Sus scrofa: one gene and its partners. The protein of the gene in region 6 interacts with the protein of the main gene of each other region in a biochemical or structural test. Links are inferred from orthologs where the notes say so. Each region holds a gene or a part of one and is shown on either strand. Other genes may lie near its edges.

What was found.
Region 1: the proteins of SNCA (region 6) and SIAH1 form a complex in vitro, tested with the Homo sapiens proteins (3 studies listed by BioGRID, with this or other methods). The link is inferred for Sus scrofa from reciprocal best matches to the Homo sapiens genes SNCA and SIAH1.
Region 2: the proteins of SNCA (region 6) and ENSA form a complex in vitro, tested with the Homo sapiens proteins (2 studies listed by BioGRID, with this or other methods). The link is inferred for Sus scrofa from reciprocal best matches to the Homo sapiens genes SNCA and ENSA.
Region 3: the proteins of SNCA (region 6) and VAMP2 form a complex in vitro, tested with the Homo sapiens proteins (3 studies listed by BioGRID and IntAct). The link is inferred for Sus scrofa from reciprocal best matches to the Homo sapiens genes SNCA and VAMP2.
Region 4: of the proteins of SNCA (region 6) and SIAH2, one has a biochemical effect on the other in vitro, tested with the Homo sapiens proteins (4 studies listed by BioGRID). The link is inferred for Sus scrofa from reciprocal best matches to the Homo sapiens genes SNCA and SIAH2.
Region 5: the proteins of SNCA (region 6) and GBA form a complex in vitro, tested with the Homo sapiens proteins (2 studies listed by BioGRID). The link is inferred for Sus scrofa from reciprocal best matches to the Homo sapiens genes SNCA and GBA1.

What each region holds. Positions count from the first base shown.
Region 1 is NC_010448.4:36,358,389-36,363,634, forward strand, and holds the start of SIAH1 (E3 ubiquitin-protein ligase SIAH1), read left to right. Parts: upstream 1-2,171; 5' UTR 2,172-2,854; coding exon 2,855-2,945; intron 2,946-4,454; exon of another isoform or gene 4,455-4,517; coding exon of another isoform or gene 4,518-4,602; intron 4,603-5,246. UniProt on the Homo sapiens protein: E3 ubiquitin-protein ligase that mediates ubiquitination and subsequent proteasomal degradation of target proteins.
Region 2 is NC_010446.5:98,526,031-98,531,358, reverse strand, and holds the start of ENSA (alpha-endosulfine), read right to left. Parts: upstream 3,458-5,328; 5' UTR 3,312-3,457; coding exon 3,258-3,311; intron 1,582-3,257; coding exon 1,456-1,581; intron 66-1,455; coding exon 1-65. UniProt on the Homo sapiens protein: Protein phosphatase inhibitor that specifically inhibits protein phosphatase 2A (PP2A) during mitosis.
Region 3 is NC_010454.4:53,378,712-53,383,803, reverse strand, and holds the start of VAMP2 (vesicle-associated membrane protein 2), read left to right. Parts: upstream 1-1,560; 5' UTR 1,561-1,701; coding exon 1,702-1,703; intron 1,704-2,211; coding exon 2,212-2,332; intron 2,333-2,790; coding exon 2,791-2,949; intron 2,950-3,029; coding exon 3,030-3,081; intron 3,082-3,692; coding exon 3,693-3,709; 3' UTR 3,710-5,092. UniProt on the Homo sapiens protein: Involved in the targeting and/or fusion of transport vesicles to their target membrane. Major SNARE protein of synaptic vesicles which mediates fusion of synaptic vesicles to release neurotransmitters.
Region 4 is NC_010455.5:90,968,036-90,973,425, forward strand, and holds the start of SIAH2 (E3 ubiquitin-protein ligase SIAH2), read right to left. Parts: upstream 3,504-5,390; 5' UTR 3,053-3,503; coding exon 2,636-3,052; intron 646-2,635; exon of another isoform or gene 1-645. UniProt on the Homo sapiens protein: E3 ubiquitin-protein ligase that mediates ubiquitination and subsequent proteasomal degradation of target proteins.
Region 5 is NC_010446.5:94,582,083-94,587,189, reverse strand, and holds the start of GBA (glucosylceramidase), read right to left. Parts: upstream 3,286-5,107; 5' UTR 2,924-3,285; intron 1-2,923. UniProt on the Homo sapiens protein: Glucosylceramidase that catalyzes, within the lysosomal compartment, the hydrolysis of glucosylceramides/GlcCers (such as beta-D-glucosyl-(1<->1')-N-acylsphing-4-enine) into free ceramides (such as N-acylsphing-4-enine) and glucose.
Region 6 is NC_010450.4:129,267,495-129,272,094, reverse strand, and holds part of SNCA (alpha-synuclein), read right to left. Parts: intron 1,636-4,600; coding exon 1,493-1,635; intron 1,274-1,492; coding exon of another isoform or gene 1,262-1,273; exon of another isoform or gene 1-1,261. UniProt on the Homo sapiens protein: Neuronal protein that plays several roles in synaptic activity such as regulation of synaptic vesicle trafficking and subsequent neurotransmitter release.

The DNA of each region.
Region 1 (5,246 bases), on a different chromosome or scaffold from region 6:
ATAAAGCAGTTTCTTTATTGTCCTCTTTGAAGGAAATACATCTAAAAATCACCAGTATCCTACCACTCACATAACTAACATTGGTTATTTTCTGGTGTATAGTCTTCCTCATTTCTTATACTTTCATCCCAGAAAAATCATGTATGTTCTGTTTGTAAATTGCTTTACCAATACACCCTTCTTCCTTGTCTGACACTATTTCTCCTTTTTAAACTTTTTTTTGGATAGGAAACTATCAGCTTCCTGTTGCTGCTCTAAGATAACATTTCCACAGGTTCAGAGGCAGACACTAGGATGCAGACATCTTTGGGGGAGGAGGCATTATTGCAGGCCACAGAACATTTGTTAACTGCTTAAGAAAATGAAAAGCCCAACATTGTCTCTTGATTAGAGTAGTCAGGCATAAGGTTATGATGAATCAGAGAAATTCGTCTTCGGTCATTTATAATAGGAAACAAAGCTTCCCATATCAAATCGAGAAAAGTTTTAAGTCCATTTACTCTAAGTTTGTTAAAATGGCCAAGTAATGGTTAAATGCTCTGAAATTAAGGCAACATAAAGGCTGATTCTAAAATGTTTTTTGATTTAGATTAAAATCTAGTTAAACTTTATACCAAATGAGACTTGAGATGTAGGCTTTAGAAAGGGTAGGTAATTGGTAAATTTTGCGTTTTTGCTAACTTTGGATTCCATGGGCTTGTCTTAGTGTAATGTAGTTTTTGTGAAAAATTTCCTTCCTTGTAAAACCCATTTAAATAAATAATCTATCTAGACATTTTACTATATTGTGCTAAAAATTAAATGACAGTTAATCTTTGGTATACTTGGTCTCTAGTTGGTGACCTCAGGCAAGGCAGGTTAACTTTTGGAATTATGTAAGTGAATACTTCCATATTTTGGAATCTGTACCACCTGTAATGTACGTAATTTACCCATCTCCCTTAATCCATGTAAAAGCATGCAAGGCTGGCAGTACTGTTCTGATTTTACAGTTGAGTAGGTGGTGAAAGCTGGGTTTGAATCCCAGTGTAGATGACTCCGGAACTCTTCCATTTTTACTGTCGTGACTGACTTACTGAGAAATGTGTCCATAGATTAATGGTTTTCAGACAGTGTTGTAAGCTTCAATACAGGTCCTTTGGAAGTTGGAGGAAAAAAACTTTTTAGTTTGAGGAATTTGTCATCCTTTTTACTTGTTTTACAAATTTGGACTCTGTCTTCATACTGTTTGGAAAGAGTTTTTCTGCCTAAAACATTTAAAAGTCTTCTACTTTAGAAACCCAACACCTAGCTAGAGTGAATATGTATTAAAAAATAAAGACATTGGTAATAATAATTTAGATTTGTCCGTGGACAGATTATATTTTCAGTTATGTTTCAGTTCCTAATGATGTTTTGTCTAATATCAAAATGAGACTGAGGTGACTGAATACTATTAATAGGATGGGGAAGTGATTTGAATTAAAATTTTATGCTGAAAATGGACAATCTACAATTTACACAGGGTTCACTCTCCACTACAAGCTCTTGCTCCCTTTAAAGGCTGCCCTAAGCGTGATGTAATGACAGGTTAAACCTCTGAATGCTGGAGCTGACGCAATGAGAATCTGAGGCCCAGGACTTTATTGGGACAAGGGTAATGCTTGTTTAAAAACAAAACAAGCTATTTTGTTTAATGAGGGCGTTTAAGATGGCTTTCCCAGAGTGGGAAGAGAATAAAATCTCAATTTGGACGTTGAAGTAGAAGTTTAATATGGTTATGTGTTTACGACTCTCACTGCGACGGCTTCTCGAATCGAGAAAGGAAGTTTGAAATAAGGTGCTGACGGCGGTAAAAATGGAGAAGTGAGTTAGAATTGAGGAAATAAGGTAGTTGACATCTGATAAATAGTTAATGAAGTAGACAAATGCTTTTGCTATATAAAAATCCGGAGTTTGCACGGTTAACTGGCAGAGTATAGAGCAGAGAAGAGTGCTTGTCTGGCCACGTATTTTCCATATATTCTATGTAGCGCTATGAAACCACCCCAAATTGCGATATCCGACTGTTTGGGCCTACTGAAACGGAGTGTTTCCACCTCACGTAAGCCGGTGGAAAAGCTGAGGCGTGCGGTATGTCTCCGGGGATCGCGAGGTTCTGCGGAGCTGGGTAGCTGTGTGGGAGTTGCGCGCTGCATGCTCGGGATTCTTGCCAGAGCCGTGCAGGAGCGACTGCGAGCCCTGGAGCCGCCCTAGGCCGAGTGGGGCGGAGCTTGCAGCCCCGCCTCCATGCGCCGGCCCGCCCCTCTCCTGCCGCGGCAGCCACCGCCCTGAGTGCTTTGAGCCTTCGGCCGGCTGGCAATCTGCGTTGGAGCAGGCTCTCCCAGCGGCAGCCCGGCCCAGGCCTCCAAATGGCTCTCCCCGCGGGCCGGACCCTGCAGCGGTAGCTCCAGAGCTGGGACTGAGAGCTGCACCGCTTCGTCCAGTCGCTGCTGCGCACTCTCCAGCCCTGTCCTTCACCGAGCTGGCCAGAGCCTAGCCGATGAATTTGGGAAGACAAACTTGGGAGACAGACGAAGGTTTAGGGCCCAGCAGAGGACAGCTCAGCAATGGCTCCCATTTTTGGAGACGCAGGCGAATTTGAGCTCATGGGGAGGTGTGGTCGACTCCTCTCGGGGCGGGAGGGTGCTTCATTTCTCTGCCGCTGTAGCCGGTGCTTCTGAGGAGTGAATGGAGTGTATGGGGCATGGCACGTGCCTTCCTGTCTTGAAAAGTTGACCCTGGACAAATTTAGGAACGGAAGGTGTCCAGTAGGGCCCTCTGTTACAAATAGTCTCTATTCGTGGGGGAAAGGCTATGAGCTGCCTGGCTTCTCATGACCGGGAAGTCTCCCTTACCTTTTCTGTACTCCTGGAGGGGCGTCTTGCTCACTTGTTTACCAGCATCCGGGACAAGGAAGAGAAAAGGTATTACTGTTAAGAGACTGGGTTGCTTAAATTGTGAATTGGGCAAGTTGTTATAAGCTGGTGGAATTTGAATGGATCAGGGAATGGCTGCAGCGTAATTGAGCTGGAGATGTTTCTTTTGAGCAGCTCTACTTTTCTCAGTTTAAAACAAACTTCAGGTTATGCAATGACTCCTCCAGGGTTGTCCAGACACTTGAATCCTTGATTCCTACTGCAGGTCTGCTGTGTTCTTAGGATTCCTTTTCTGTTTGAAGATGGAGCTGGGTTCCATCTTCTGAGCTTTGGGAGGTTTTAGCAGCTGCTGTCCTGTAATACTTTCATTCATAAGAATTACAAGCTACATTTTGCTTGCTTTTCACACTTTGAATAGGAATTTAAATCGTGCTTTTTCTACAGTGTTTGGAAAAATAATAAATATGTGTTATATCATAAGTCTGAACTATTGATGATAAATGTGTAACTATTTTCCTAGGTCAAGAAATTAAACAGTAATGCTTTGCTTGCTTAGTAGTTATATTATGTTGAATACAAACTGAGTTTACTGCCTCCTGACGCGATTTGTTGTTTTGGCGTAGTGAATTGAAAGGCATTGGTGGCTTAGATCATTTTGTGCTGAAGGAACCACTTCCCAGTTACTACGTTGCTCTCTTAAAATAAGCAGCATAAAATGGACTATGAAGTAAGCATACAGCACACATACAGGGCATTTTGGTAATGCTAAGCCCATTGTTCTGCTAGTGACCTAAAATAAAATGCATAGATCATCATATGCACAAAAAAATCTCCTGGGGAAAACTGGATTACAGGAGAGTTCCTTTATATTGGTCTAGAACACCTGGGTTACACAGGGCTTCAGATGGTAAGAATTGATTCCTGTTGTCTTAAATCCTTGTGATGGGCCACATTATGATAGAATCCTGTGGTACTTTTGTTTCTCCTTGAACTTTAGTCCTTTAGTGACAGTGATCTTTCCGATAGAATAATTACAGTTAGGGAAAATATGAAATCTGAAGAGTTAAATTTTAGTTTGATAGAAATATGGCTTAGGGTTCTTGGGAATATACTCTTAAGGACGTCCGTAGACTGATCTTTTGTCATCCCCAAGAAAATGGCCTACCGTATCCCAGCAAAGGTAGATTCCTGGGAAAAGCTGCTAGTTTATCTTTCATTCACCCTGACACATAGTTAACATTGTTGATCATTTCTTCCAGATGGCATTTATTTCATAAATAGTGTTTATTGGTGTGCTGATGAATGCTTCAGCAACACTGGTGAACTTTAGGGTACGAGGCATTCTTTACCTGTTGACTCTATCCCTCACCTCCACTGTTGTGTGAGTCTCTCTGGTGCTTTTGATCTTTATTTTCTTGACTCTCCTTCACCTTTGCAAATTATACTGGTTTATATTGTAGAATGGAAGTAGAATGATTTACTGTGTCTAAATACTGGACTCAGAACTTTTATGAGAGGATGGCCCTCCATTTCTCTTCTACTTTCTCACTTTTGAAGGGGGCATGGATCAGTAGGAAACAAGATTAATTCCTAGCTGGTGTTAACTTTCCATGAAGATGGATGATGAAGAGGAGGTGGATGGTGGGATGGCAGCAGACCCTTCCCCTTGTCGCCCCTTTCATTCCCCAAATTACTCCTAGAGCAGGTAACCGTTCATCATTAGGAGGAATTAATCAAAGTCAGTACCCTGGTGATCCTTTGGATCACATGTAACTCCCTGGAGCACATGTAACAGCTGACTCAGAATGAGTAGGGGAGGTGGGGGAGAAAGTCCAGTCAAAACTGATTTTATTGCACTTAAGCTCCTTCTTGTTTATGGTCCAGTTTCTATTTTAGCATTTATTCCACGTAGTCCATCCAAGTATGATTTTTAACATTTTTTTTTTTTATTTTTTTTTATTTTTTTGTCTTTTTGTCTGTTGTTGTTGTTGTTGCTATTTCTTGGGCCGCTCCCGCGGCATATGGAGGTTCCCAGGCCAGGGGTTGAATCGGAGCTGTAGCCACCGGCCTACACCAGAGCCACAGCAACGCGGGATCCGAGCCGCGTCTGCAACCTACACCACAGCTCACGGCAACGCCGGATCATTAACCCACTGAGCAAGGGCAGGGACCGAACCCGCGACCTCATGGTTCCTAGTCGGATTCGTCAACCACTGCGCCACGACGGGAACTCCCTTTAACATTTTTTAGAGAAAAGGAATTCTAAATGTGCTCTGGAACCTTTTGAGAAGAGTACAACTCACGTATTTGTGTCAATTTATGTTTTTTTTTTAAAAGCCTTCTTTATTT
Region 2 (5,328 bases), on a different chromosome or scaffold from region 6:
GGCAGCTGCTTATTCTTCATCTTGGCTTTGGCCATGTTGTAGTCTCCTGAGTCAAAGTACTTTTGCTAAGAGACAAGAGGGAGGTTTAGGTGAGTGAGGCACGCTGGTCTTCCTCAAAAGCAAGGAGACTCGTATCCATTATAAACCTTCATCTACACTCAGATCTTTCAAATCTTTTTTTTTTTTTGATTTTTTGGCTGCACCTGTGGCATGTGGAAGTCCCCTGGGTCAGAGATCAAACCTGCAGTAACGAGAGCCACAGCGGTGACAACGCCAGATCCTTAACCCACTGAGTCATGAGGGGACTCCTTTCAAGTCTTTATTTACCTCATACATACATAGCTTAGCATTAATTACAAACACCTGTCTTCTCCCCATCGTGTTCTTTCTCAGGTATATAAGCAATTTCCCAGCTAGAGTACATATTTTTGGAGTTAAGAGACAGCTCCTACATCCTTTGTAGCCCCACGAGTACAGGAAGGTTCAACCAAATTACTGACTATTCATAAAGGCTTACTGAGGACCTATTAGCCTCTAGTGGGCTTGGTGTTGTGGGAGCAGAAATGAGTAACATACATAGAAGGGTCGATCTGGGGCTATCAGCAGATCAGTCTCAAACTAAACCTCAAAATTAAAAATTATTCTCTCAGACTATGAATAGAAACTGGGCTTGTTCATGAGGATAATGTACTTTCCTCTGACTCCTACCACTCCCACACATGTTCCATGGCTGTGACAGCCTGCCCACGCCTGCCTTGCCGACAGCAAGGTAAGCAGCAAATCAGCATCACATTATCATCTGTGACTAAGACACAATAACTGGGATTCTCCACAGGGATCTGTTTCCCTCTCCATTTCATCCTCACGGAGAAACACCCTCCAGGTTAATGACTTACGATCCCTTAGTCAGCTTTAGGTACGTCTGGGGACTGAGAAACCTGATCAGGAGCTAGATGGCTATGAGGGTAAGATTCTCCCTTGGTGAGAAGGACCACACTGGACAGGAAAAATAAATCTCTTCAAATGTCTGAAGAAATCTGCTATTCATATCAAGTTGAGGAAATCTGCAGGACAGATGGTCTGATCTTTTTCTGAAATGGTGCATCCTAAAATTTAGCTCAAATCCTAAATGTGTAGTCCTAAAACTCCCACCATCTAAACAGGCAAATGTCTGGAAACTGTCAGCATTCCAGACTCTAACATCCTTTCCTCACTCCCCCAACCTTGTGCCCAAATGCCCCTACATTAAGCCCTAATTTCCTACAGGGGAGATCAGAAGATAGCTGATAACTTATCAGGTATTTACAGTATCTGCCTTGTTTTTCCAAGTTTCTAATTCTTCTCTACTACTTCCCCCAAACAAAACCTCCAAATCAGTATTCACTACAACGTCCATAGGTCTCATCCCTAAGGCTTTCTGTGGCTCCAAAGAGGGTAAGATATTATGCCCCATACCCCTTTCTGGAGCCTCTTCATGAGGAAGTCGGAGCCTCCAGGCTTTTGTCCTAGGCTTGGATATTTGGCCTTTAGCTTTGCCTCCTCGGCTCTCTCAGGGAGAATACCTTCTTTCTCCTGCGTGTCCTGGAGGAAACAAATGGGCCAATAAAATTAAACACTGAGAAGCAACTGCTTCTAATACTGATAACTTTTATACTCTTACCTTTTCCTGGAGATCTACCCACTTGTAAATATGCTATCTCCACTCTATTTTTAAATGAAGCTAACCTTTGTTCAAATCCCTAAAGCCCAAGATGACTGTATTGTGAGAAGAGAAAGATATGCTCCTTCTCACACTACACCCAAGGAACCACACCAGTGACCTGTGAGTACTGGGTTAAAGGTAATATATAAGCACGATACTTGAATCAAGGAGCGAGTCATAGCTCATTCAACATGAAGCTAGGAAAGACAGAGAGAAAGCTAGCAGGGCTTCTGGTGATACAAGATGAACAGGAAAGTTCCTTGGCTGTCCCTAACACGTAATACAGGTCAAATGGGATATCAAAGTGGATAACTCTCCTGAGATGTTCCCTTCTAAGCTGGTTATCTGAAAAGTCTCTCTTTGGAGGAGCATAACTCTGTGGCCTTCTCCAGAAATCTTCACCTTAGTAACAAGACAGCATTGCTTCAGCAATTCCATAAACATTGTCATAGGAAGGTGACAAGTAAACGGATTAAAATGACAGTTTTTAACTTCAGGAAAATCATGATACAGTAGGTCCACTAGCATTTACCCACCAGCTTTGCTAAAAAATCAACATCTTTCCTAGTGGGGCAAGTGATGGAAGTTTGGGTAACATGCCAAGAGCCCAATTAGCTTGCAGGGGCTCTTACTGCGTTGTTACTCTTCTTACTTTTCGTGGGCCCTGCTGCCCTTTTCTTTAGTGACTTTTCAAAAAAGATTTGAAGCCAATCTGTGGCTCTTTTTAAAATGGATTTACTTTCACTTCTCTTGGAAAACTGGCAGATACAACACCAGGTATATATCATGAATCCCCGAGTCCAATACTAAATGTTATGTCAAATACAAATCTCCAAAGAGGTTGACGTGTTTTCATCGCATAACTGCGGGTGAACTAAGTCCCCCTGAGTTGGAAGTCTGGGGAGAATATTGTGGCGTCTTTCTTTGTCATTACTGTCTCGGTGTCTTTTCTAGGATTAACCTCCGTGATTCTGTTCAGAGCCCTAGTCCTCTTCAATCTTATTCGGTCTTCTTTGAAGGTGGGCAACAGGCCATCCCCAGTGGTCAAAATAGGTCTCTCGAGAAAGTTGCTGTCTTAAACTAGCCATGATAATAATTCCGCTTCTCCCTTCTCCCAATGTGGTCCTTTTTAAACTTCTTTCCCTCGACCTGTATCTTCTGAGGATTTAGAATGCGGGCCCCTGCCTAGATGTTGGGTCATTTTACCCCTACTAACCAGTAACACACAGAATCCTGGGACCACCAGCCCCCTTTCATTCACCGAGTCTTTCCAAACACCCGCCCCGCGCCCAGGCTCGGCCAATTATAGTACAGCTCCAAAGGGCTGAGCCGAAGACCCATTGGCCAATCAGAAAGGTTACAACACTGAATGACAAGCCACCCAACTAACCAGCGCCAAAGCAGCAGGCCTTGTTGAGGCTCACCCTGCACGACGCAAGAAGCGGCCAACCCCTGCAGAGCCGGAGACCATGGCGACCAATCCGCACCGGTGGGAGATCGTCTCCCGCCCCATCACGGTCGCCCAGCTTGCCCGCCCGCACCCCCTCCATTTCACCTGCTTCTCCTCGCCGGTCTCCTCCGAAGGGTTCTCTTCTTGTTTCTGGGACATGGCGGGGCCGGGACTGTGGAGTGTAGGGGACCCGGGAAGTCAACTGGAGAAGGGAAGGGGGAGGGGACACGGGACAACCTGCGCGGCTTGTTCGGCTCCTGTCACTAGGGTTGCTCAGTCAAAATGGCGGCTCTTGCCTGTGACGTTATGACCGCCCCTTCATGTGCGAGCCAATGGGAGCAGGATAGATGGGGCAATGACGTAACGATCTACCAATAGTTGCTAGCTAAATGTGGGGTCTGTGGAAGCGACGGGCAAGCTGGAAGGCCAATCTGCCAAGGGAATGAACCACAGGGACCAATTGGAAACCCGTGGGGGCTGTTAGGGGGCGGTACGGCTAGGTTTTTTTTTTTTTTTTTTTTTTTTTTTTGCTGCTCTGGTGGGGTCAGGCTTCCTCCGCTCCACCGCCCCGCGCGCAGTAGGCTTTGCTGGGCTTCAAAATGCAGGGCGAGAGGATGTAAGCCTTTTATTGTCAGTTAAAGAGGATTAAACTTTGCTCAGTGTTAGCAGAAAATGATCAATCTCCAGAAATTAATTTAGAGGTCAGAGTGGACTTTAAAGTGGTACTCCACACTACTCCAGTGTGTCACTTGCCATGTGGAGAGACTGAGTCGCCTTGCAGAACACAGATGGCTTACATTCCGTGGTTTTACTTTTATGTACAGTTTTTTTTACTTGTTCAGGGTCGTCCCATGAAGAATAAGCTTCTTTTGAAACAACAAATGTCTAGGTACATGGTAAACATTTAGTAAATACAGTTAACACTTGCTAACCTATCCTGGGTCAGAGTTCAACCGTATTTTTTTAGCATCTGTAGATGGCACTGTATTGTTTTTACAGGGGATACATATGTAGTAAGGCAGTGTCTGCTCTAGAAAGCTTAGTTTAGTGGGCATGTGGGGAGGGTTAGGTTTTTCACAGAGTGCCAGGTGTACCCTAAATCCTTGAGGTTAAATAGACATATCTTCCTAGAGTGTTGGTCAAAAAGCATATTTAAGTATTAAAACAGTCTAATAATAACACTGAAAAATTCACATTAAAATTTAATTTTGGGGTTCCTGTTGTGGCTCAGTGGTAACAAACCTGACCAGGATCCATGAGGATGCGGGTTCGATCCCTAGCCTCACTCAGTGGGTTAAAGATCCGGGGTTGCTGTGATCTGTGGTGTAGGTCGCAGATATAGCTCAGACCCCACATTGCTGTGGCTGTGGCATAGGCTGGCAGCTAAAGCTCGGATCCAACCCCTAGCATAGGAAGTTCCGTGGGCAGTGGGTGTGGCCCTAAAAAAAAATTAATATTCCAGGCAGCCTATTGTGACAGCCCTGGGGCTTTCCGTTCATTTTTTCTGTATAATTAGATATACTTCTAATGGAAAAGTTTGAGAAGCATAGAAAACACAGCTTTTATCATATGAGGCAAAGTCTGGTCAGCATTAAAATAAAACTGTTAATAAAAGTGGTATAGGGGTTCAAAGGAAGGTTCAGAGTCCCTGCCAAAACAGAAACAAAAACAAAAAACTTTGTGATGGAGGTGAGTATTTGAACAGCTTTAAAGAATTTAGAAGTTTGCCAGGTAAAGGTGAAGGAAGAAAGGGTATTCTAGGTGATGGGGTCAGCATGAAGGCCAAAAAAATAGAATTGAGTCCAGAACCTGGAGGGCTTTGAATGCCAGGATAAAGAAGTGGCGGCATTCCCGTTGTGGCTCAGCGGTAACCAACATGACTAGTATCCACGCGGACGAGGGTCTAGTCCCTGGCCTCACTCAGAGGGTTAAGGTTCCTGTGTTGCCATGAGCTTTGGTATAGGTCACAGATGCAGCATGGATCCTGAGTTGCTGTGGCTGTGGTGTAGGCTGGCAGCTATAGCTCTGATTCAACCCCTAGCCTGGGGAATTTCCATATGCTGCAGGTATGGCCCTAAAAATAAAAAATGAAAAACAAAACAAAAAATAAGTGAATAATTTAATAAAACAGGAGAGAGATTTCAGGGTTTTAGACCAGAGATCGCAGATCAGAACA
Region 3 (5,092 bases), on a different chromosome or scaffold from region 6:
TGTTCTCTAGCTAGAAAGCAGAGTAGTCTCAGGGCCAAAAAGCAAGAGCTAGCCCCCTGCAGCGTCATCTAGGACCCTCAGGGAAGCTGTTCTTTTCTTCCTTTTCACATTGACTGAGCCACCCAGACACTGTGTGTGTGTGTGTGTGTGTGTGTGTGTGTGTGTGAGTGCATGGGACCAGGGCAGTGGCAGCGCCCAGGAGGGGGAGAAGCTGAGAGCATCGCATCTTAGATCTGCTGAGTCCCCGCACCCCGCACACACTCCCTGTTCACTCACCTCCCCCACACAGCTGGGAAATGACACCTCTGGTGACAGAGCCTGGCCCAGGCTTCTGCTGGGAGGGGGTGGGGTGCTGCATGGGGGAGGTTGTCACACCCGGAGGCCCTGGGAGGCCTGGGTGGGGGAGGGAGGAAGCCAGCTCCTGTTTGTCTCAGAGACCAAGGCCACCAGCCCCCTCTGCCCACTTCCAGGGTTGCAGTGAGCACCCTCGCTCCAGGGCCACTAGCCACCCCCCCCCCAAGGTACCACCTTCTTTACTCTTTAGGCTGATCTGACCTACCCCACAGGACAGGCAGCTCACCTGTTCTCAGCCTGTCCTCTCTGAGGGGACCAGTCCTGCTGAGAATGAGCAGAGGGGGTGTGTGAACTGCTGGGTCTGTTTGGAGGATCTAAACAGAGACAAGTCAGGGATGGAAGGGGCCGGGGATAATCTCCTACCATGTCCCGGATCAAGCCATTTAACAAATACCCCTGTAGTGTCTAGTATGTAATCTATTTGGGGTCCAGAGACAGGCAAAGGGCTATCCAAGGTCACTCCCAGGAGGCAGGGACTGCCTTTGCCTCCTTACTGTCCTGCCCCCCCAGGGAAAAAACAAAACGTAAAAGCTAAAGTTCTGTCCTTTCGCCTGGGGTCAGAGGCTGAGCCCTCCCGCTGCAGGGTAGCTGATCCAACTCTGGGTCAGAGCCAGGTTTGGGCCAGTCTGCAGGCGCACCTGAAGCAGCGCCACGGGGCAGCCTCTTGCCTTCCTCCTAGGCCCCTAAGCTTGCCTCTTGTCGGTCAGGCCCAGGCTGCCAAGGACCCCTGGTCTGAACCCCAGCTGTGAGGAGAGAGTTCCTTGTCCCAGACCTCCTTTGAGATCTCCACCTGCGGGCAAGCTTTGGGGACCAGCTGCCACCACTCCACCTCAGCCGCGGGGTCTCGCCTGTCTGCATCGCCCCGGAACCTGCACGTGACCCTTCTGATTTCCCATCTCCCGCCCGTATCTGAAATGCCGAAGACCGGTCAACAGGCGTTGGGACCGTGGGGGCGGGCTGAGACCTGGGTCGGGGTGGGGTGCGGACGGGTCTCACGGAGGAGGTGTTTGGGGCCGAGGGGTGCCATCAGGGCCGGGCCATGGGTGTGGGTAGGCCGCGGCCCCCAGGCTCGGGCCGTGGAGGGAGAGGCCGGGGGCCCCGCCTCGCGGGCCCCGCCGCGGGCGGGCTGCGCTCCCCGCGCCCCGCCCCCACGCCCCGCCCCCGCGGCCCGGCTGCCGCCGAGTGGCCCGCGGCGCCCCGCCCCCGCCCGCAGTGCCCGGATGTGGGTGACGTGCGGCCGCCATCTTCCCGTCCCGGGCAGCCAGCGCCAGTCGGAGCCAGCGCGAGCCGCCGCCGCCGCCACCGCCACCCCTGCTGCTGCCAAGTCCTCCGCCCGCTGCCCCCGCCATGTGAGTCGGCCGCCTGCGCCCGCCCCGGCTGCCCGCGCCGGCCGCCGCCCCTGCGTCCGAGCCTGGGAAGGGCTCGGGGTCCAGCCCGCGCCCCCCGCGCGCCCGGAGGCCAGGCCGGCGCCCGTGACGGCGCGCGGGCAGCCGGAGAGCCCCGGGTCCCCGGCCGGCCGCGCGGGCGCTGGCGCCGGAGGGAGCAGACGCAGGGTCCGCCCGCCCCGCCCCTGTCATCGCTGCCGCCTTTCATTGCGGGTCCCCCCGACCGTGGCTGTGAGGTCGCCCTCATTTGACAGGCGGGGAAACTGAGGCCCGGAGGGGGGAGGGGGCCTCCCTCAAGGTCACGCGGCCGCTTGCCCGCGGGGCCGGGCGAAGGCCATGGCTCCCTTCGGGTGGCTCTCCTCCCGAGAAGGAGGAAGGGGGGCACGGATGGATGGACAGACGGATGGGCGGAGCCCTCGCTGCGGGGCCGAGGGCTCCAGGGCCTGGATCTTAATCCGTCGGTGCCCCTCAGGTCGGCAACCGCTGCGACCGCACCCCCCGCCGCCCCAGCTGGGGAGGGAGGCCCCCCCGCGCCCCCTCCAAACCTCACCAGTAACAGGAGACTGCAGCAGACCCAGGCCCAGGTGGATGAGGTGAGTTGTGGGGGGGGCAGAGGCAGTGGGAACGACCCTGAGGATGGCAAAGCGGTCTGGGGGTCCATCGTGGGTTGAGGGTGATGGCAGTTCACGTTTTCGCGTTCGGAGACAAAAACATACCAAGCCGCGTTCCTGACGTCGTGTAATTGGGAGGGCCGTGGGGTGTTAGCCTTGCTGGCCTGCGCCGTTTCACCCTGGGCGGGTGTGCTCTCGTGACCCGCAGGCTGCTTGAGGCTCGGTAAATAGAGGGTGCTGCTGTGATATGAGATGTCTGGCCACCAGCATGCCTCTGACGTGTGCTCCTTGCATGTCCCCAGGTGTGCTGGGCATGCTCCGCATATGTTGTTGCATGTCAGCCAGACAGCCCTAGGGTGCATGTCTCGTACGTGGGCTCCTGGCTGAGGAGAGCCCTTTGAGATGGGTCTCCCCCCCCCATCCCCGCGCCCTTCCCGCAGGTGGTGGACATTATGAGGGTGAACGTGGACAAGGTCCTGGAGCGGGACCAGAAGCTGTCGGAACTGGACGACCGCGCCGACGCACTCCAGGCGGGGGCCTCCCAGTTTGAAACAAGTGCAGCCAAGCTCAAGCGCAAATATTGGTGGAAAAACCTCAAGGTAAGGGTGGAGGCCGGAGGAGTGGTGGGTGGCCGGGAGTGTCCCCGCCTGTCTCCCTGACCGGCCCTTCTCGCCCCCAGATGATGATCATCTTGGGAGTGATTTGCGCCATCATCCTCATCATCATCATTGGTGAGTCGGGCGGGAGTGGCCGGGCCCCTTTGTTGGAGAGGTTTCCCCCCTGACGTCTGGGTTTTGAAGGTCATTAACCTCGTTTTTACTATTCAGCAAAGAGCACACAGAGCTGCCAATAGCAGTTCTGATTCATCTAGCACCCCAAACCTCAATGTTGTTGAGCTTGTACTTTGCCTGGTTCTGGGCAATTTCTGGTAAGATTTTTGGAAACCGGAAAGCCGGTGGAGATCTCCACTGCTCCCTTGAGGACCCTTTGGGTTTGTCCAGTATGGGAACCCTGGAATTGGGGTGTGGGGGAGCAGCGAAGACTCAGGGGCTTGAGAAATGGCTAGGAAGCCAACCACCCTATTGGTTGAGAGCTGTGGTCTCAGAGGCTCCGAGGATTCGGGGTCTGTGGCCCCAAAGCCATACCGTGACGTTGAGGAGACCTTGAAGCTGACCTGTGCAGCTTCCTTGCTTTACAGATGGAGGATCTGAGACCAGGAGGGGAAGGGACGGTCAGCCAGCTGGGAGGTGGGGAAGGTGGGAGCAGGGCCGGGCCTGACACGCTGCTTTCTCTCTTTCTCTTTCTTTCTCCCCTCTTCTTCCTTCTCTTTCCCTCTCTGCAGTTTACTTCAGCTCTTAAACCCCTGAGGAGCCTGCCCTGCCCAGAGAAGGGCCTCTCCCCCCCATCCCCAGCCGCTCCTCCACCTCTCAGCCATATCTTCCAGCCCCCTCCTCCCCCGGGATCCGCGTGTGTGTGTCGTGTGTGTGCCCCCTTGTAAATAGCCAGCTGTTATTTATACATATATAATATTATATATATTTGGTCTGTTTGTAGTTTTATTACTAGAAGATTTTTCCGGTTGTCCTTAACACCCCTTCCTGAGGTTCCCATCGCCTCCTTTTGCCCCTCCTCTCCTCTCCTTTCCCTCTCTTCCTCACCGGCCCCAACTCCCTTCATTTGCATCTGCTATGCAATAGTCCCTCTTCCTCCCCTCCTTCCCTTGGATTTAGCTGATCCTTCCTCCCGCCCTGGTCTTCCCCATACACCCCCTCACCCCACCCCACCCCCCGACAAAAAAAAAAAAAAGAAAAGCAGCTGTCCAGGACTCCCTAGGTGCATCTTCTTTGCATCATTGGGAGGCTCTGAGACTGGTCCCTTTTGGTCCTAAGAATCCCAAGGTCTTCTGGGAGCTTCCAGCATGTTAATTAGCATCATTTGCATACTGACATCCCTTTTGGTTTCCTTTTTTTCTCCATCAGGCTTCTGTTCATTCTTTCAACTTGTGTTTCTTTTTTACTGAGGAGTTAGTCCCTATTGGTCTGGTCCTTGTATCACACTTTTCATTTGCATGACATTACTTGCAGGTGGTAGGGAGCCTGGGCATTGGGGGTGTCAGGCTGTTCTGGCCCCCAGAATTGCCCTCTCCGAGCCCCTCCAGTCCAGTTTGCCTCCCCTTCCCCGATTTTCCAAACCTCTTGTCCCTCCTTCCCCTCCCCCCAGCTGGTGTGTACGTGTCTTGGAGTTCAGTGTGTTATGATGGACCAATAATTCTGCCACTTGGAGTCTCTCCCCACATTCCTGCTCCCCAGTTTTCAAGTGGGGTGCTCAATTGACATTCCCATGGGGTCTCCCTCCCTCCCATCTGCCTGACCCGCCTCCTCCTCCTCCCAGCAGGAGAGTTGGGGGTTGGCCACAATCTGATTTTTCTTGGGAGAGGTGGCTACCTGTGTGTGTGGGGTCATCACTGCCTTGGGGAGGAGTGGGGCAGGGCAAAGAATCCTCCCAATTCCTGCCTGAAATCTCTGGCCCCACCCCTGCTGGGGGTTTGACTGAAAGCCCTCCTCACCCATTTGGGGGGTGTTGCCCTATCAGCTCCTCTGATTGCCCCCCTGAATTCGGGGCAGGGGTTTTAGTCACTGCCAATGTGTGTGTGGGACTTGCCGGAAGGTGGTGATTCTTTCCCCTCTCCAGGGTGGTGGAGCCCAGAGAGAGCTGTCTCCTCCTTAGGTGAAATGATAAGGA
Region 4 (5,390 bases), on a different chromosome or scaffold from region 6:
TCAGCCTTCCCAACTAACATATCTTGGTTACTTGCTGGGCCTCTGTATACATCCAGGTTTGGTTGATCCAAACTAACTGGCTAAGCTATAGCCAGTCGGGATTACTATCTATGGTCTGGATTACTGATCAACCAAAGCTGAGGCAGGCATACTTCAGCTTTATAAATCTCATACATGCAAAAGTGACCCCTCCCCACCAGGTCACTTTCTAAGCTTGGTTCCTGGTCTGTAAGGGGATGGGTGACCTTGTTTAATTTCAGCTGCCAAGTGTCCGCTTCATCCAACTGCAGTCTGACAGAATGGGAACTTTAAAAATCACTGACAGATACAGAAACGCTGGGTACCCTTGATTCCCAAGAGAACTCTTCTTCCAGAGAGACTTTATTAGCGTGTTACATGTTAGGAAAGAATGGATGCTTCAGTAGGTACCAGAATTCTGGATCCTGAAAGTGAAATTTCACACTTAACACAGCATGTAGTAACTGTCTCCTTCCCTTTCTCTTGGGAGAAACAGTGTTCTTATGATATTGCTTTAAAAAAAAAAAATTAGGGGAGTTCCTGTTGTGACTCAGCGGGTTAAGAACCTTACGTAAGTCTTTCTGAGGATGCCGGTTTGATTCCTGGCCTCACTCAGTGGGTTAAGGATCCGGGGTTGCCGTAAGCTGCATCACAGATGCAGTTCGGCTGCTGCTGTGGCTGTGGTGTAGGCCGGCAACTGCAGTTCTGATTTGACCTCCAGCCTGGGAACTTCCATATGTGGCAGGTGCGGCCCTAAAAAGCAAAAAATAAAAAAAATAAAAATATTAGGGATAGCTGAATCAAATGCTCTTTTGTGAACTGTAATTCATCTAAAGGCATTTCTTCTCTTGGCCACTGAAGGTTCAGGGGAAAGTGAAGGGTGGAGAAGATGGCTCCCCAGAAACCCTGTGGGGCATCCCCCACCTCCTCACCCAGCCCCTACAATATAGTTCAAACCTCAAATTCAAACCTCTTATGTCACCTATCACCAAATCTTCTCATGATCACTAGGTTCCCACGTTTTCATGACCCTAAGAAAATTCTACAACTATTTTGTCTAAATTTCATGACAAACTACTACTAGACTGGGGAATTAGTAAGCATTACATGAGGAGTGGTTGAAAGCAGAATAATTTATTAAGGCTGATGAAAAACCCCAAACATGGATTCAGACCCTTATTTGAGTATGCTATTTTAAACTTGACTTGTGGCAGGGCACAGACCAAATTAAATCACTCATTTTACTGACTTAAGTCCCAGCCTTCAGTTCTCTAGTGGATTATTTTTAATTTAAAAATAAGCTCTTGTCCTATAAAAGTAAGCAGCACCAAGGAGAAACGCAATACAGCCTAAATGGCCCAAGAGGCAGAGTGCTCACTTTTACAAACAAACAAACAAACCCTCAAAAGTATTAACGACATTAAGTTTAGAAGAAGAACTTTATGGTCAACATTCTACATTATAATGAGGTAATATAGATAGGTATTTCTCTGAAATGGCTCCTGAAGATTTTTAAGTAACAAGACATTACCATATGACCACACAATGCTGTATTATACAGCCTCTAAAATACAGTGAGGTAGAGCTATGTTTCAGACATAGAAAAACACGATGATATGAAGTTAAGACAGCAAGTTGAAGAAGCCATTTTTGGAGAAACACTTATGTCTGTGTGTGCATATATAAACCTTCCCACACTGACATCTAGGGTTCTAGGGTTCTATATTCAGCTGCGGAGAGTATATTTATATATGGTTAGAAAAAGCCTATGAAGATGCACACTAAACCTGACACTGGTGGGAGAGGAGGTGAGAGGTCTTGGTCTTTCACTTGTTTTTTCTTGTCTTAGTAGTTGGCTTTTTCTTTTTTTTTTTCAAGAGCATGGATAACTTTTTAAACTGAATAAAAAATAAACCAATGTTCTTTAAAGAACTGTAACAGCTCCTGAATGCCCTTCCTGTTAAATTCCTGATCAACTCTTGTTTTCACCCCTTAGTAAAAAACAAAACAAAACACAAAACTCTGAAGGCTAGGAGAGGGAAAGGCATGGCTTAGAGGGTTTTCTTATTGTTGGAGGAAAACAGGCTATAGGTACCCTTTTTTTAGCCTCATTCCGGAGGGCTCCCACGTGTCAGGGGTGTGCAAAAGGCTCCCATGTGTCAGGGGTGCGCAAAACCATGCAGGAGGAATCTAGTACCACTCCTTCCAAGGCCAGTGCTGGTAAAGGGTGCGTTTAGTTTACCCTTTTCCCCTTCTTCAATCCCTCACAGATGGTCAGCTTCCCGATCCAAGTTTTACTTGAGCGGCCCAGCTCTACCAAGCACACCCAAGTACACGTCTGCAGAGTACGCAGGCTCCCGGTGGGAGAGCTGTGATGTGTTCGAACAGCGATCGCGTGCCAGTTAGGCTGGGGTCAGTGATCGGGCAGCTGTCACCCCAAAGCTACTCCCAAAGTGGACAGGTGGGCATGGGGGAGGGTGGACAAGGTGTAAACTTTTGTTGTTGTTGTTGTTAAAATAAGAGAGATGCCGCCTGCCTCCCAGCGCCTGCGAGTGGTTTGGAGGATAAGGGAGTTTCAGGTCGCCGGGAAAAGTGCGCAGCTGGCACCTGAGCTTACCTTGCAGGGAAACAGGACTGCCGAGGCCACCTTCTCCATAGCCAGGTTCCTGATGCTGGGCGTCAGGGCGCCCCTGCACGTCGGGCAGCAGCTCAACTTCTGGCGGCATTGGTTACACACCAGGTGCCCGGCCTGGCACTGCAGGATTGGGGGCAAGACATAGTCAAAGCAGACCGGGCACTCAAAGAGCGAGGTCAGCTCGTGGTGCTGCGGGGACACCGGGCCAGCCCCGCCGCCGCCTCCGGGGCCCGAGATCACCGCCGCCGCGGCGGGCACCGCGGACGAGCCGGGGCCCGCAGCCGAGATGGTGGCGGCGGCCGGGGGCGCAGCCGGGGACGGAGCGTGCTGGGGCTGCGGCGGCGGCTGCTTGTTGCAGGGTTTGTTAGCGCTGGGGCCGGTGGAGGACGGGCGGCTCATCGCGCTCTGAACCAACCATGGAACTGCGGGCGCCTGCCTGCCGCGGGGCCGCCGGGGTCAAGGCGGTGCGCGCCCCGCGGGCGGCGGGCTCCGGGGCAACGCCACCGCGCCCAGCCCAGGACCAAGCAGTGAAGACAGTCGGCGCCGGGCAGGCGGGGGACTGGACCACGCCGACGATCTCTGCGGCCCCGGGAGCTCCGAACTCCCCTCCGCACCCCCAGACTCCTCCTCCCCGCGGCGTCGTGGCCCCAAAGCCGAGCTGTACGCAGAACCTCGGCCCACCCGCTACCGGAGCAGCAGCTGACGCAAGCCCCGGGGGCGCGCGCGGACGTGACGCCTGGACACGTGTGAGGCCGCCCAGGCGCGCGGGGACTGGCGGAGCCACCCTGCGCTGGGGCGCCGGCTCCGCCCGACTCCAGCTGGCAGCGCCGGGGGCCGCCTAGCGCGGGCGCTTCCTGCCAGGGCTGCCGGCCCGGCCCGCGCCAGTGAGCATGCCCGACTCGCCGCCGCCGCCGCGCGGGATCTGCCTTTCCGGGTTGCGGAGGGGGCCGCCCTTCAGAAAGGCGTCGCTGAAGTCCTTTAGCCACACCCCGGGGAGACACGCTGACGCGTCCCGCGGGCGCAAACCAGAAGGGCAACTTTAGGCGGGGCTGGGGCTTGAGTGGTGGGCGGGGCGGGACGCGGGCGTCCTTGGACTGGTCGGAAAAAAACGAGAGGTTAGTTACGCTTTCCCGGGTTGAGTCAGCAGAGAGCTGAGAAGGCGTGCGGCGCCGCCAACCTGGCACTTAGGATGGAGCTCTGGGTCGAGACACGGAGCTTTAGGCATGGAGCAGGACGAGGGGCTTGGATCAGGTCTGCAGCGGCGCAGGATCTAGCGCTGGGCGCTTAAGGATGTGTTTGAACCACTTCTTGGTCCTGCTGCCTAAGGCGGGGAGGAGGTAAACTATTCCTGTTGTCATCTGACCTGCCGAAGCCTTCGTTGAATTCAAAGCATCTGACTTGCTGGCAGGCCCGGGAGGCAGTTCGTGGTCAGTGTTTGCTAAAAAGAGAGTTCGAGATTGCCAGATTCTAGGAGTGCCAGAAATGTGGCTTGGGTCTTGAAACACGCGACGACAGTGGGTGACCCCCTCCAATACAACACAGCCTCATCTTTGAGACCCGTCAGAAGTGCACAACTTTGATGCAAGATGTGGGTACTCGTTTTGCACGCCAAGCCGAAGCCTTAGAGAAGGGTGGTAGCCTGGAGGGAACCACGAGTTAATGTGTACTGAGTTAAATTGCTTTTCTGCTTACTTCGAGCCCCTGACCTTGGAACTGGGGGAAGGGGCTACGTAGCTGGGAATCAGGCGATTCCTTGCAGGAGAGACAGTGGTAAGGAACAACAGTCAGGCCTGGGTGAAGAGCGGTGTCCTCCGCTTACCATCTGTGTGACTTTGGACAAGTTCTTTATTTCTCTGCGTCTCAATTTCCTTATTTGAAAAAGTGGAATAAAAACAGTACCTCTCTAGGAGTCCCTGCAGTGGCACACTGGGTTAAGAATTCCACTGCAGTGGCTCCCGTGGCTGGGGAGGTGTATGTTTGGTCCCGGTGGGGCAGTGGGTTAAAGGATCCTGTATTGTCCTGCTGCATCCTAGGTCGCAGCTGCAGCTCGGACTCAGTCCCTGGCATAGCATAAAGGATGCAAGGGTGCAACGAAAAAAAAAAAAAATCACCTACAGCCACCGTAAACAAAAAAAACAAAACCCCAGTGCCTGTCTTATAGGTGGGGTGGTGAGGGTTAAATGAGTTTGACTTATGCCAAGAAACTGGCCCATCATAAGCACTGCTTAAACGTTAGCTGTTATTATTTAAAAATGTTATTAGTGAATTTTACCGTTAGTAAATATTAGTGAATAAAACTTGTCCAAGAAATACTCTATTAGAGCCCAGAAGAAAGTTTAATCTTATACAGGGTATCTAGAAAGCCTACGTGCTTGAATTGGTGGAATTAATCTAAATCATGAAAAAAATTAATAGATGTGATGTCATTCAATCATTCAGTAGATATTTCCCAAGCATTTATTATGTACCAACCACTGTTTGGGCTCTGAGAATGGTTCTCCTTCAGTCTCATTTCTAGTAAGGGAGCAATGCCAATAACCAAACACTTTTGGAAGATTTCAGAAGAACAGGTGCCATGGGGTGGGGATGAAGGCATTGTAGCAGCAGCTAAAGCAAGATGCACTGGGGCTTGGTTAGGGGGGCAGTGGGGATGGTGCATGGGAGTCTCAGTTGGCCTGATAAGACCTTTATCTCAGTGACAAGGAGTAACCCCTGTAGGTATTTGAAAAGTGCTGTG
Region 5 (5,107 bases), on a different chromosome or scaffold from region 6:
GTCTGGGAACCTCCATGTGCCTCGGGCGTGGCCCAAAAAAGCAAAAAAAAAAAAAAAAAGATTCACAGCCCAGGGATCAAACCCTTGCTAAAACAGTGACCTGAGCCACAGCCGTGACCATGCCAGATCCTTACCCTGCTAGGCCACTGGGGAACTCTATATTACTGTTATTGTAATTCAGCCTTTGATTCTTCCTTCCAGCTACAGTCAAAGGAGTCTGTCTGAGACCTCTACCTCCACCCTTGCTCCCTCTGGCCACCTCCATTTCTCTTCCATCCCAAGAAGAAGCAATAAATACGGAAGGGAGATTTAGCATGGACCCTGGAGTGACTATACACGGTTGAAATCCTTGCTTCATTTCTCACTAGAACTGAGATATTGGGAAGTCACTTGACTTCTTGGAGCTTCAGTTTCCTCATCTCCAAAACTCTTGCCTCAGGGTTGTCATGAGGATTTCATGCAACAATGCAGATAACATTACTCATGGCAAACATCTGGAAGGTGGTGCTACACCTGATGAGTCCTCTCTTGCACTTCCTACACCCCCAGCTAATGCTGGGCCCTCTGGGCTCTAAAATTGCTCTTGCTTGGAGTTCCCGTGGTGGCTTCCCAGTAATAAACCTGACTAGCATCTATGAGGACGTAGGTTCAATCTCTGGCCTCATTCAGTGGGTTAAGGATCTGGCGTTGCTGTGAGCTGTGGTGTAGGTCACAGACAAGGCTCAGATCTGGAGTTGCTATGGCTGTAGTGTAGACCTGTATGTGCAGCTCCAATTTGAACCCTAGCCTGGGAACGTCCATATGCTGCAGGTGTGGCCCTCAAAAGCAAAGAAGTAAAAATAAAAAAAGAAATAAAATTGCTCTTGCTTTAAGAAAAAAAAAAAAAAAAAAAAAGGAGTTCCCTGGTGGCTCAGCAGGTTAAATCTCAAACACTGTCAATGCTGTGGCTTTGGTTACTGCTGTGGTTCAGGTTTGGTCCCTGGCCCAGGAACTTCCGCATGCCATGAGTGCCTCCAAATAAAATAAAATAATAAAATTGGAGTTCCCCTTGTGGCTCAGCATAAATGAATCTGACAAGTATCCATGAGGACTCGGGTTTGATTCCTGGCCTTGCTTAGCAGGTCGGGGATCCAGCGTTGCCGTGAGCTGTGGTGTAGGTCACAGATGTGGCCTGGATCACCAGTTGCCTGGGCTGTGGCATAGGCTGGTGGCTACAGCTCTGATTCAGCCCATCTCCTGGGACCTTCCATATGCCACAGGTGCAGCCCTAAAAATCAACAATCAAACAAACAAAAAACAAATTTTGAAGCTACCACTCTCCTAAAATCCTTCAAGGGCTCCACGATGCCTTTTACGAAGGTGTATGGGATCTGGCATCTTTGTTCCAGCCTCATTTGTTGTTGTTGTTGTTTTTAGGGCTGTACCTGTGGGATGAATATGGAGGTTCTCAGGCTAAGGATCTAATTGGAGTTGTTGCTGCCGGCCTATGCCAGAGACGCAGCAACACCAGTTTCTTAAACTGCCGAGCGAGGTCAGGGATGGAACCTGCAAACTCATGGTTCCTAGTCGGATTCGTTTCTGCTGCGCCACAATGAGAACTCCCAGCCTCATTTTTCACCTCTCCACTTGGACCACATGCTCCAATCACATTTCCTCTAATAGGCCACCATCCATCTTGCCTCTGTTCTACGCTATATTTTCTTCTCCTGAAAAAATGAATATTCTTTTTGCATCACTAAGTCCTTAGCCTTACTGTCTCTGCCATCAGCATCCATTTTCCTAACACCCTTGAGAGGGTTGGGCACCCCTGCTATGTGCTTCCCAATTCACACATTCAACAAATAATAATTGGGCATCTCCTATGTGCCAGGCACTCTTCTAGATCCGGAGGCTACAGAAATAAATGAGATGATAAAGTCCCTGGCTCTATGGAGCTTATGTTCTAAAGGGGGTGATAGGCAAAAAAAAAAAAAAAAAAAAAAAAAAAAATCATTTCAGGGAGCTATGAGAACTACAAAGCAAGGGAGTGCTGGACAGAACGAGTAAGGAGGCAGTGGTAAGAAGTGAGTTTGGAGAAAAATGTTGAGGATCAGATGCTGCAGGTCTGTAGGGCCTTGGCTACAGTGAAGAGTCTGAATTTTGTTCCAAGATGGAAATTCACTGGAGAGTTTGGGGCAGGGAAGTGACCACACCAGATTTATATTTTTAAAAGATCACTCTGGCTGCTGTGTAGAAATCAGACTACAAGGGGCAAGTGTCCAGGCAGAGAGACCAGCCTCCAATGACAGCCCGCCATGGACTGGACCCCTTGTTCTACATCCTTTCTGCCTCAGAATCCTCACAAAATCTCTTCCTTTAGTATGCATCGCTCTCTACCTCCATTCCGCCTAGTTAAAGCCTATTCATCTCTCCTTCAGAACTCAGCTCATATGTCATTTTCTCTAAGAAATTCTCTTCCCTTCACACACACACACATCCTGTAACACAAGCTGACAGCCCTTACATCTCTCTCCTTTGTAGCTTTTATTACAATTGCAATTCATTGCACAAATGGCTTAATATCAGTTATATAGCCACCTCGTTTGCCTGCTCATCTGTCCGGGCGTAAACCCAGGACAGGGATCAGTCTGTATCCCCAGTAGGTAGCACAGCACCCGGCGCTGGTCCCGTGCTCACTGAACATTTCTCGGATGACTTGAAGACATGGATAAATTACACAGACCTTCCTCCCACTCTACCCCTCAAAAACGCAAGTGGGTAGAAGAAAATTTGAAGATTCTCTCCCTCTTCTTCATTAGCAAAATACGACCATCCCTACTATTAATAATAACAATGATGATTTAAAAAAAAAAAAAAAGATGAACTGCAGACGCAGGGGAAGGGACAGTTAAGATCCAAACAGTGCAAAATCCATTACGCCTACCGTCGGCAAAGCGAAACAGCAGCCCCAACCGGAGGCGAAGGGAAATCCCAGCGCAGCCTGCAAAGCGGGGTGGGCGGGGCGGCAGAAAGGGGTCAGCGGAGCCCGCGCCGGAGCGAGGCTGCAGCCCCACCACGCGCAGCCGCGAGACCCTCAGGGCCCACAGGGCGGGGCTGAGGCGGGACCTCGCTCGAGAAGGGAGACCCTCTAATCATCAGGAGGCGGGACGGGGCCCCTTTCCGCACTTCTTATTGGTCATGCTGGGGACGGACTGTTTCCGCTGACCAGCCGTGGCCCAAGGAGGACGCAAACCTATTCCGGGGTCTACTCGGAAGAAGGGCGCGGGAAGCGAGAGGCGCGCATGCGCCTTGGTGTACGCTTAGCCGCACACCCAATTAAGAGGGGAGATTGAACTCTTTCCTTGAGTCCGCCTTACGGAAGCTGAGCTGGTTTCTTGAGCTTCCTCCTCTGGGAGCCTCAGGATAGGGAACATCCAGTGCCCAGAAATTGCCCCGTAGGGAACCCCAATCTCCACTCCCTCCTACTGTTTTGTCGTCCTGGCCGCGCCCTAACCCTCCCTGAGGCTGAGTTGTTAGGATGGTGAATTATTCAAGAAGCCTTGCAGCCTGACGCCATCTATGGGCAGCGCCCCTCCCTTGCCCTGTTCCTTTCCTGTAGAGCCCCAGAGGTCCCCCCCCAATCATAGGGTCTCAAAGCTGGTTACAAGGGCCCACTCTGCGTTTTAGTAACTGCTCAGTTTGTTGAGGACCGACTAAGTGTTAGATCCAGTGCAATGACCAAGTCCCTACACTCAGGAGCTTGAATTCTAGGGGCCAACACAGACAAACAAGATAATTTTAGATAGTGATAAGAGTTCAAAACAACCTGGCGGTGTGATAGAATGGGGAGTGCTCAATGAGAAGGTGAGATGGAACTAAGATCCGAAACAGGTGAAAGCAACAGCTACAGGGCACAGCGTTTAGCGTTGGTGAAGCGCTAGTTGGTGTAAAGGCTTTTGTACGAGGCAGTTTGGCTGGAGCAGAGAGTGGACTAGGTTGTGCCTGGCGGTACTTTCAAAGGAGTTGGGAGAATGGGAAGCCATTAGATTTAGGCAGAACTTCAATGTGACATGATTTCTTATTTTGCTGAGTGGAGAATAAATTATAGGAAGCATGGAAATAGATCCATTCAGAGGCTGGGAGAGGCGAAGACTTGGGCTAGGTAGCTGGTGAGACATAGATGAATTCAGGGTAGGGCTGGATGAGGGAAAAGAAGTCAGGTGGGGTTCCCATCATGGTGCAGCAGAAACGAATCTGACTAGGAACCATGAGGTTGCGGGTTTGATCCTGGCCTCACTCAGTGGGTTAAGGATCTGGCATTGCTGTGAGCTGTGGTGTAGGCCACAGATGCAACTCAGATCCCGAGTTGCTGTGGCTGTGGCATAGGCTGGCAGCTGTAGTTCCCATTAGACCCCTAGCCTGGGAACCTCCGTATGCCATGGGTGTGGCCCTAAAAAGTAAAAAAAAAAAAAAAAAAGAAAAAAAAAAGAAATCAGGGCCTGGAAAAGTGCAGGTGGATGAGTTCTGGTTCCACTTATTGAGATGGGACTGTTGAAAGAGGAACAGGTGCTGGGGGTGGGCCTCAAGAATTCTGTTATGACCATGTTGAGTCTTGAGATACCCATTAAACATCCAACAGAGATGTCAGTTTGGAGGTTGAAGCTAGAAGAGTTATCCATGAACACATAATTGGCATTTAAAGCTTGGATTTTTTTTTTCTTCTGCTGTTCCCATGGCATGTGGAAGTTCCTTGGCCAGGGATCAAACCCATGCCACAGAAGTGACCCAAGCTGCAACACCAGATCCTTAACCAACTGTGCCATGAGGCAACTCTAAAGCCGTGGATCTTGACAGGGCCACCTACAGAGTGGAGGCAGAAAAGAGGAGTGGGCCAAGAGAGCACTGGGGCCCCCAGTATTAAGCAGTCCAGCGAAGGTGCGAAAGCTGTCAAATGATACCAAGATGGTAAAGTGGGAGGAAAAATAAGAGAGTGATGATGTCTTCAAAGACAAGAAAGGGAAAAGTTCAAGAGGAAAGATGTTGATTATCTGGCTTAAATGCTTCTTAGAGGTCAAGGAAATACAGGCAGAGCAATGGCCACTAGGTCTGATACCTTTTTGGTTACTGA
Region 6 (4,600 bases):
TAAAGAGCACTATTTTTGGATGGGTAAAAGCAAGCCCAATTTTGTAAGAAATGAAATATTTGCATGCCTTGTTAGCAATTTACATTAAGTGGCAGTGAGATGGGGATGGCACACGTTTCCCTGGTTTCTTAATATTCTAAAGCAGAGAATTTTCCCAGTTCAATTTGGTTGTTCCATAATTCCCAAAAGAAAGGTAAAATTTGAGGAAGGGTTTGAGGAAGCAACATTAGTGGATGGAAAAACACTGCTGGTTTTCAGTTCATTACAATTGGCTATGTGACCTTAGACTGCTTCCTTCTCCTTTGTGAATTTCCTCACCTGTACAATCAGGACCTTGGTCTCAATCATGGCTATATTCCAAGATCCCTGCTTATCGTTTATTTCCTTTCTCTTCCCACCTTAATGCAATCAACATTCCTTCATTATCTCCTACATGTCAGTCACCCTTCTAGACACTTGTGAAACATCAGTGAAAACTAGTATATTCCATCTCCATGGTGCTTGTTTATTGGATAAACAACATGCATAAAAATAAGTTATTATTTTTAAAGATAATCAATGGTTTGGCCAAAAAAGAAGAAAAATACAGAGTAGGGAAATTACGAACAGCAGAAGGAAGAGAATGGCTCCAATATAATATAGGCCAGGAGAGACCTTACTGAGAAGTACTGTTTGGCATAGACCTGAGGGAATGAGGGAGTGAGCCAAATGCTTAAATTCAGGAAAGAATTTTCCAGGAAGAGTCAAGGAAAGGGTACGCCTTATGTGTTCAAGGTAGCAGGGAAAAAAGCAAGAGTCATTCTACTGCCATGGTCATGAAACCTGCAAAATTTCATCTTCCAGTTGACATCTCATTTTCTGTTGCTTACTTGTTAAGAATGAAAGTCATAATAACTCTTGAATAACCTTCCTAGAATCTCATTTGCAGAGAAAGGCAAAGTCAGAATTCTTCTGAGAATCTTAAAATCACCGCAAAACCACAGCCTCTGGCTGGTAATATAGTTTAAGCCTCTCCGTTTCCAGAAACATATATTTGGAAATGAACTCTTATGTAATAAGCAAATGTAACATTTAATAAGAGATGATGTCACCCCGAAAAAAATCAAGTAAAAGAGTCTCATTTGAACATTGAGAGATTGCGCACAAAGAATTTGCTATATCCCAACAAAGAGAAATTCCAAGATTCCAAGCTGACATAAAAGCACCCATTCTTTCTGAAATGTCACTGTTCTTTTGAACATTTATTACACTGTTCATTTCATCAACTTTCTTCCTGGAAAATAAAACAATCACACTTATTGTACAATCTTCATGGCATTTATCTGGGTAAATACCTCCAAAAAGAACATGCATATTAAGGTAGTATTTTTTTGTGAGGGAGGGTCAAGCAATCCCCCCGCCAAGTAAGCATCTTATTCCTGCCTAGTGTCTTGCCGGAAAATGCACTGTGATCTCACCAGCTTTCAATATAACATAAGATACGCAGCCATACCTTGCCCAGCTGATCCTTTTTGCCAAAGCCAGTGGCAGCTGCAATGCTCCCTGCTCCTTCCACTGTCTTCTGTGCTACCGCTGTCACCCCTGTCACCACTGCCTCTCCAACATTTGTCACTTGCTCTTTGGTCTTCTCAGCCACTGGGATAAATCAAGAACAACAGATTAAGGGCTTTTGAACCAACAGCAACTTAAAATAATTAAACATCCACTAGCCATGATCTTCTAAAGATGTCTATTTGCACAGGTAGATACCTAAAGAGTCTGAAGAAACAAAAGCTACAGAGATTTCTAAGTGAGCATGGCTTAGCCAAACACAGAATCATTGCTAAGATAGTCTATGGTAATCATGCAGATATTAAAAGATGTTTCAAGTTCATGATCACAAATTTAGAGCCAGGAGCAATTTCAGTTTGGTTTACATTTTACTGAGGAAAGTTTACAGAAAGCAATGCTTACAGGTGCAGCTGTATCAACCTCAGCATGACATTTATTTCTTTATTTCAAGACCAAATTTTCAATCTCACTCAGCATGTTTGTTTCCCCACACCTTCGGAGTCACACAACACATATGTGCTCTCACACATTAGCATCAGAAATAAATAAAGGCTGATTATGAAGGAACTTTGATCCTTTTACAAAACATCAAGTATAAAAATAGAAGGGTTTTAGTGATCAGATTGGTTTTCAATCATGTTAATGGAAACAAAAGAGCTAGGCATGAACTAAAGTATGAAATTGAAATAGCTTATTGAGCACACTTACAATTTCTTTTCATTAAACAAAATATAGTGACTCAGTAGATTTTTACAAATAAGTTAAAAATTTAAGAAGATGGTGTAAATAGTTTGGGATTAGATTTTAAAGAAATTAATCTCCTATCAAAAAATCTCTTTGAGTTCCCATTGCGGCTCAGCAACTAAAGACCCTGACTAGCATCCATGAGGATGCGGGTTTGATCCCTGGCCTCACTCAGTGGGTTAAAGATCTGGCGTTGCCGTGAGTTGTGGTGTAGGTTGCACACATGGCTCGGGTCCTGCGTTGCTGTGGCTGTGGTGTAGGCCAGCAGCTACAGCTCCGGTTGGACCCCTAGCCTGGGAACCTCCATATGCTGCAGGTGCAGCCCTAGAAAGAAAAAAAGACCAAAAAAAAGTATTAGTATCTTATATAACTATGTATGTGATGACATTGCAAATATCAAATACAGGAAGCTCTGTCAACAAAGTTCGTTCCAATGCAATTAAGACTTTTAATGACAAGGCAGTAAAAAGATGAGATCCTGCTCCTTTAAATAATTTCAAGGGCAATAGAGAGATAAAACAACCTTTCACTTGAACTTCATAACAATTATACATGTCAGATATGGGCCTTGCATTCTTATCTTTATCAATGCAATGATTGCTTTCTTTTCTCTTTGCCTCACAAACTCATTTCTTGTCTGCTGTTTTTCCACATCTCAAGAACTTAGGGTTTTTCATAATGATTTTTATTTTTTTCCATTATAACTAGTTTACAGTGTTCTACTAGTTTACAGTGTTCTATTGTACAGCAAGGTGACCCAGTCACACATACATGTATACATTCTTTTTTTCTTACATTATCAAGCTCCATTATAAGTGACTAGATACAGTTCCCAGTGCTATACAGGAGGATCTCATTGCTTATCCATTCCAAAGGCAATAGTTTGCATCTATCAACCCCAAATTCCCAGTCCATCCCACTCCCTCCCCCTGGCCCTTGGTAAGCACAAGTCTGTTCTCCAAGTCCATGAGTTTCTTTTCTGTGGAAAGATTCTTTTGTAACGTATATTAGATTCCAGATATAAGTGATATCATATGGTATTTGTCTTTATCTTTCTGACTTACTACACTTAGTATGAGAATCTCTAGTTCCATCCATGTTGCTGCAAATGGCATTATTTTTGTTCTTTTTTATGGCTGAATAGTATTCCATTGTGTATATATACCACTTTTTCTTAATCCATTCACCTGTCGTTGGACATTTGGGTTGTTTCCATGTCTTGGCTATTGTGAATAGAGCTGCACTGAACATGCGGTGCATTTGTCTTTTTCAAAGAAACTGTGGCTTTGTCCAGATATATGCCCAAGAGTGGGATTGCTGGGTCATATGGTAGTTCTATGTATAGTTTTCTAAGGCATCTCCATACTGTTTTCCATAGTGGTTGTACCAATTTACATTCCCACCAACAATGCAGGAGGGTTCCCTTTTTGCCACACCCCTGCCAGCATTTGTATTTGTGGACTTATTAATGAGGGCCATTCTAACTGGTGTGAGGTGGTATCTCATGGTAGTTTTGATTTGCATGTCTCTAATAATCAGGGATGTAGAGCATTTTTTCATGTGCTTGTTGGCCATCTGCATATCTTCTTTGGAGAAACATCTATTCAGGTCTTTTGCCCATTTTTCCATTGGGTTTTTTTTGCTGTTGAGTTGTATAGATTGTTTCTATAGTTTAGAGATTAAGCCCTTGTCAGTTGCATCACTTGAAACTATTTTCTCCCATTCTCTAAAGCTGTATTTTTTTTTTTATGGTTTCCTTTGCTGTGCAGAAGCTTGTCAGTTTGATTAGGTCCCATTGGTTTATTTTTGCTTTTACTCCTGTTGCCTTGGGAAACCGACCTGAGAAAATATTTATAAGGTTGATATCAGAGAATGTTCTGCCTATGTTCTCTTCCAGGAGTCTGATGGTGTATTGTCTTACATTTAGGTCTTTCAGCCATTTTGAGTTTATTTTTGTGCATGGTGTGAGGTGTGTTCCAGTTTCATTGATTTATATGGCGCTGTCTGGTTTTCCCAGCACCACTTACTGAAAAGACTATCTTTTTCCCATTTTATATTCTTGCCTCCTCTGTTGAAGATTAATTGAATGACTGTAGGTGTCTGGGTATATTTCTGGGTTCTCTATTCTGTTCCATTGGTCTATCTGTTTTGGTACCAGTACCACACTGTCTTGATGACTGTGGCTTTGTAATATTGCCTTATGTCTGGGAGAGTTTTGTATCTTGCTTGGTTTTTGTTTCTCAGAACTGCTTTGGCAATTTTGGGTCTTTTGTGGTTCTATATAAATTTTTTGATTGTTTGTTCT